Linked DNA regions of Coturnix japonica. The protein of the gene in region 2 interacts with the protein of the main gene of each other region in a pairwise test. Links are inferred from orthologs where the notes say so. Each region holds a gene or a part of one and is shown on either strand. Other genes may lie near its edges.

Region 1 (3,500 bases), on a different chromosome or scaffold from region 2:
ATGGTCAGAGGTGCAGGCAGAACCCGCAGAGAGCAACTAAAAGAACGGCTGCTTCTTATTAATAAATGCTGACCTGTAAAACACTGCTGAAGCACTATTTCCCACAGAGGATTCTGTTTTTTCGATCAAAATAGCATAACAGAAAGCGCAGGTTTCCTGGTGTGCTTAATAACTTTGCAAGTCATTTCATGAGAACTGAAACCTCGTCACATCCTGCAGCAACCCAGAAGAAGAGCCAAACAGCTCAAGAAAGTGCCTACAATTCCCATCACTTTGTGACATTGCTGAACTCCTACTTGTTTTGCAAAGTGACTGAAATATTCAGTATTTTATCACAATTACCATCTTCACAATACTTCAAACCCACCAATACCATTCATTTATTTCTCCATCGATTACATGTTTTGGGAGGGATGCAGCATGGTTCATTTGGGTGACTCCAACAGGGAGGTGTAAAAAGCAGGGTGAGTCAATGCTCTTCCTTCACATATGAAACTGAAGTCCCAGAATAGGATTGAAGGGGTTACAGGGAAAGAGAAAGGGGGAAAAAAGTACACTTCTGCTTGCACCAGATGTACTTTATATACATGTACAGGTAATGTTCCTCAGAGATGGTCATTTTAACATAAGCAGTGACTGTAGTTTAAGCAATAAAGGATACAAGAGAAAACGAAGGAAGAAAACTTAGTACTGCAGACTAATGTAAGTTGTTATAAAAAGAACTGTATTTATACAAGAATGCTATGCAAGGGTAGTACCAAAAGAATGCTAAGGAAACCAGAAACCAGGCAAAACTATTAGTCAGTTCCTTGAGGTGCCACTGGTGTCCTTGCTGCTGAACCTTCTTTCCAAACAACCATTATTTCACTAGTGGTGAGGTCTCAAATGAGGAAGCAGAGATCAGTCAAGTTTATAAATAGGGAACACGACATACTCTGTGCAGCCTCTAATTAGCTTGACAGTGTTTTCATGGAACTGAAGAATCTCTCACCCACAGACACTGAGATAAGGACAGCTCTGAGAGCAGCCATTAAAGTGCTTGAGCTGAAATGGTGCAGCGAGCCCTTTGCATTCCATGTAACTCCTCAATGAAAACATCAGTTAACATACAAAAGTGCTGCCAGAAAACACAGAGCAGTTTTTCACCATCACAGATAAATATAGTAGCAGATCGCCTTGTAGTATCCAAAATGTCTTATATTGAAGTAAACCTTGATGTTCTTCTGAAATTAAACCTTCAGTTTCTGTTACCACATTAGAGCCTTGTGATGTGAATACCCATCTGAAGCTTTTTCAAAGACACCTAAAACAACCTCATGGAAGTTAATGTACTTTGTCCTTGGCACATGCAGGTGTACTTGAATACTGTCTCTCACGCTGCTTCTCTGGATGTTTCTCTAGGTTCCTTCTGGAAATGTTAAGCATCAGCAGAAACACTAGGCACTTCTTTCCCACTGCCTTGCAAGCTATTCATGTTACACTTGAAATCTGCTGCTCAAGTTTTGACTTGCCCAACACGCATCGACATGAATGCTTTATTAGTCACAAATATCGTATCAGTCAATCTAAATTACAGAGCTATATAAAAGAACTACTTCTATATCCGTGCAATGATTGAAAAAGCTGAGCATTGTTCCCTAAGGCATAAAGTTATTTTGAATTGATGCCACCCTTCCCCACACAGTTAAATATGAGCAATAGTTTGAAAGCACTCTTCATGTACTCATACATTTCTGTAGTTCATAGCATCTTCCCCTGAGAAGGTACTACAAGCTGCACAGCCTGTCCAAAAATAACCCAAACCAAAAACTTTGTATGACAATTCTCCATCCTCTTTTAATAACCTGACTCACTGCCAGTTGTAATCTGTGGTTGATACAGTGCCATGCAATCCCTTTATGTAATTCACAGTAGCCTTGCTGCAAGTCTTTCTTATCATTTTATGTGCACCGCTGCAAGAAAATTATGCCCAAAAATGTTTCTATGACCCTTACCAGCAGTGCAGTGGGCTGTAATGATTGCTAGGAATTTCAAATAAACTTAGAAATAACAGAACTGCATCTTCATAGTTAGGCTTTTAACACAAATAGTCAGTGTATCAATTCAGCCTTTTACTTAACGCTATTTGATTTTTCTTTTTAAGACTGTTTTCAACAAAGCTTCTACTAACTTTTATCTTGTAGAAGGTGGTCATACACAGTACTGCTCGTGTTTTGGTTGTGGGAAGTGTGCCCTTTCAATATCATTTAACAAGTCAAATAACAATGGCTGGTCACTAAATGATTATCTGCTCTTACAGTTATAAACCATCCTGAAAATACAGAATGTGGTTTTATACCAGTCTCATAGCTATGGGTGAGCTTTGTAGTACCTGTCCACCTATCAGCTTTTTGTATTTTGGATACTGAATGACCAAAAGGTAGCACTGAAAGGTATCATGTTGCTGAAAAGCCAGAAGCAAGTGTGATATTGATTTACTCAGCTTCAATACAACTCCCTCTCATTTCAGCTTTGAGAAGACCAAAATCATATTTTTATCAGGCTTGTTCTTTTGATTCCTCCTAATTCCAGCAGCTGCAGTGAAATTATACTAGTTATAATATTAACACTGTCTACAGTTGATGGGTATTTGTGTGGGTTTTGTTGTTTGCTGGTATGGTCCTGCTCTTCTTTTAAGAATATGGATGTTTCCTAAACAATATTCACATCAGGAAACATCTTTGTTGTCCAATTTATTTCTGAAATATATTCTTATGTTAAAACGTGTAACAAAACGAGGTACTTATTTTAAATATCTACCAGCATTACCACCAGTAAGTATTCACCTGCCATACTTACTCCTCCTAGAATGGTTTTAACAGCCTCCTCATTGTTAGATACACCCCACAACAAGGTGCAGACAGCTGCACCCATTTCTGTGCAATACTCTGCTTGCTGCAGGAGCTGCTGCTTGGCCTCACGCAGGTGCTGCCGGAGGTCTAGTTTCTCCTGAAATGACACAAAGAAATTTGGGTTGCATTTCAAGTCAGCCCAGATGTTTCTAGACTACAGGATTCAATAAGAAACGCCACAGTCACATATATGGAAGGGTGTGTGTGGGGAGGGAATGGGGGGGTGGGGGCAAATTCACTGCACTGAATATGAACCTTCTCCCCTGAGCTCCATCCAAGTAGTAAACATATCACTTAAGCTGACAGTAACCAGAAGCCTGTCCACAAGGGCAGGCCAAGTGACCCATCGAGACTGAGCGGCACCTAGAGAAGTCTGATAAGAAAGTCTACTCATCCTAAGCAAATAGCTGTGTATCTCAGAGAGAGAAGAGATTTCAGCATCAGAAGTCAGCCTTCCCAGCCACTTCACAAAAGATACCAGGAACATCTTAAAGGAAGGGAGGGTTCTTTTGTTTTTCAAAATGGGCTGCCTTCATTACTATGGGAGAACTGTTGGCTATCCCTTCCTGGTTCTTCCAACTTCTTTCAACTGGCATATTCCTGAAAAGC
Region 2 (3,500 bases):
GAGATTTAGAATTACCGTGACCTGAAGGTATTTGTATTTAAGTTTTAAGATTCAGTAAAGTGGGACATCACAAATCCAAGTCAGTTTCTAGCATTTTCATCTTCCCTTTTTCCAAGACTGACAGAATATACATATACAGGTTGACATTTTGATATCCAAAACAATCTTCACTTTTCTCAGTTTGCAAGTCCTATCGACTAAAATGTAAATTCATCCACAACAAAATATTTTCAGTAAGTGAAACAATAAGCAAAGAAATCCAAAACTAAGCTCAGAAGCTAAGTGGTTTAGAAAGCCTCAGTAATAACTATGTGTGCGTTAGCGTGTCTATCATTTTTTTTATACATTATATATATAGACACATACACACATATATACACACACGTGCGCACATGCGCACAGGCACACACACGTCTGTAACCTGCAGTGAAGATCAATCTATTTTCTAATAAGGAACATAACACATTATTTAAAAATGTGCCTAATTTAACAAAACAGAGAAGAAACTGCTGCTATCAAAATATACAATTTGAATTGCAGACTAGAAGGCTAACAACATTAAAAAAATAGTTTTAAGCAAAACCCCTTTGCTTCTGAATAACAACAGGTATCAACCTGCCAGGAAGCATCCAAACCAGATTTTATAAAAAGTTTCAACTGTGACCCTTCTTCATTTGTAAAGTTATTGACACAACATATAGTGCGAGCTCTGGTCTCCAAACTGGAGTCTCTTTCATTGTTCTCAATCCACACTCCAGGAAATGAACGGTAGCTGAAGGATTCAGAATCTCAAATGAGATTTGTGCTTCACCATGTACCTAAAAAAAAAAAACAAAACCCAACAAACAAGTTGACTACTCTTTTGGTATTAATAGACATTGTGCTCTCAGGAACAATAAACAGACTTTGTTAAAACTCCACTCTTAGGGCATTAGCTAGTTGCTGAATAGATGAAATGCCTTATAATCCATCAAGCTCTATTAAACACAATATCTACCCCATTAGAAGACAGTCAGCTAAAACGTCTGCTTCAAAGAAAATTCATTCTGTCACATGGATTCTAGCATTTGATAACTGTTGCTAAAGATAACCCATTCAAGTTCATTCTAAGAATCTGAATATATAGTTGAGCTGAGACTTTTAAATAAGAAGGCACAGAAAGTTTGATGCTCAGAATCATTTAGACAACTCCCACAGGATTTTTCTTTTTGAAGTCCACTCAATCGTTCAAGCAGTTTGCCGTGCAATCAACATGAAAAGATTAAATGCTCATTAAATGCATGGACTTGTCTCTCCCTTCAATATTTCAACTGCTTAATGATAAAAAGTTTCTCTTCACAACATGAAAAAGATATTACAATGAACTTGGTATTCAAAGAAGGTTCAGAACCAGAGAGAAGCAGGCAGAAACAGCACCACTTTTCAGAGCTGCTGGTGCACTTCCATTCCTCAATTCTCGTGCAAGGCGTTGCTAAAGTAAGCAGAAGGTTCCAAAAATGCAAAGTGAAAACACTACACCTAAACTCAATGCACGTCATATCTTTTCTGACCTTTGTCTTCTACCTGGTGCTGTGGACTCAGAGGCATCAGAGTAAGATTATGCTTTGTGGCTATTATCTTGACAGTAGCTTCTCACCTTTACAAGAAGACTGTAATCTAGTAAGGTAGGGATAGGAAAGAGGAGAACTACAGCTCACAACTGCAGTTCAAATGAAGGGCTGGGGGAACAGCAGCAAACTGCACCATATGTAGGGTGATGTTTTCTGTTCCTTTGCCTCTGCCTAAAAGGATATGGGGAATCACTACTCTAAGTCCATGATCAGTAATCATCCTTCTTTGACATCCATGCATATTACCCTTTGAAGAGGCTTGTTCCTAATTTATACTGGAAATATAGTGGTATGTACGTTAAGAAGTCTAAAAAAATATTTAACACCTAAAGCATTGTTATGCCACTGAAGCTGTATATGGTACTCGTCACCTTAAGTTCATTCTTCCTACTCAACATCACAAAAGCACAAGCATAAGAGATTTTCAACATGAAACGTACCTGTCTAACGTTTCCCAGAAGCGTAGAAATACTGGCCTGTCCAAATGTCTTTTGTGGTAGCTTAGTTCTAACACTGTTACATCCCATTTCTGCACATTTGGATCCAGGCGTACTTCATCATATTTGAGATGAAAAGCTTTAACTACAGGAAACAAGAAAACATTTGACACACAAACAAGAGGACTTTACAGTGCTTAATTATTATTCAAAGAGAATCTCCCCCTACTTCAGAATAAAATAAACAAGTCTTTCTCAAGAAAATCAGCTATTTAATATTGAACTCAATACAGTGGTCAGTGATCTCTGCCTGGCACTAACACCACACCACAGTTCTATGCAAAAGACCTATTTATAGCCAGTTTTATCTTTAATTTATATCTCTTTCTCAGGGCTAATTTTATCTTTCTAGATATATAAATCCCAGGAGAACAGTAGGAAACTCATTGCCAATTCATGAGTATTTTCTTTAGAAAGCCAGGATATTATTTCTGAAGATTCTGGAATCCCCCAAAACCTTTCAAAGAAATCCCACCATAACAAAACCAAAAACAACAACAAAAAAGCAAGCGATTTCTGACACCACTGGAAGGCTTAAGTCAATGCCAGTGTAACCCCTTAATGCCACATGAAGTATGCTGAGAAAGTCAGTAAATGCCAATTTCCTCTGATCTAATGCTAAGCTAATAACAGTAAAACATTATCAGTTCATTTCCTTTTGGGAAGGCTTGTCTCATGCAAATTATGTAAAGCCAAGCATTAGCAAGATGAGTCTTACATTTTTCTTGCCCTTCTTTTTGCTTTCTGGACCAAATCATCATTTTGACATGATTCAGCATAAAGTACTTGAGACTTGTGCAATCCCTTCCTGATAATCAATTAATTGCACTATCTATTTTGACGTCCCAACACCCACAGTGTGCAACTTCTCAAAAACAATCATGCACCTAATCCCACGGAGGACTGAATCTTGGAGGCAGTGTCACACAAAACCTGACTGGACATGTCTCCTCACCATACTGACTGAAAGATAACAGACTGAATTATTGTTTTTTTTTTTCCTTTCTTCTGAATTTTGAGTTTTTTGTTTGTTAAATCTGCAGGTTCTGAAAACAGCACACACTGAAAAAAAGGCCTATTTTCTAAAGCAACTTCACAATTAAAAAATAGCAGAACAGAGGCTTACAGTTCCTTTCATGTTACAGTACACATTGCAAATAGACGAGAGAACTGTGCAGTGTAAGTGCACTGCATATACCAAAGCATACATACATAACAGTGCTAATAGAAAAAACTTCAGATCTACGCAGTGGAAGCATATAATTCACATACTGGAAGTACCTACATCTTATTAGACATTCAAGTTTTTGTCAAGACACCACAGCATACTTGTAAAACTTCCTTACTAAAATACTAGCTGGTTATTCCTCTCTTCAAACACATATGTAATCAC

Evidence for each region. The genes of interacting proteins can lie anywhere in the genome.
Region 1: the proteins of CDC73 (region 2) and HSF2BP interact in binary tests that used the Homo sapiens proteins (3 or more experiments, as listed by UniProt). The link is inferred for Coturnix japonica from reciprocal best matches to the Homo sapiens genes CDC73 and HSF2BP.

Annotation. Positions count from the first base shown.
Region 1 is NC_029516.1:99,108,087-99,111,586, forward strand, and holds part of HSF2BP (heat shock factor 2-binding protein), read right to left. Parts: intron 2,989-3,500; coding exon 2,839-2,988; intron 1-2,838. UniProt on the Homo sapiens protein: Meiotic recombination factor component of recombination bridges involved in meiotic double-strand break repair.
Region 2 is NC_029523.1:3,289,146-3,292,645, forward strand, and holds part of CDC73 (parafibromin), read right to left. Parts: intron 2,193-3,500; coding exon 2,051-2,192; intron 819-2,050; coding exon 782-818; 3' UTR 1-781.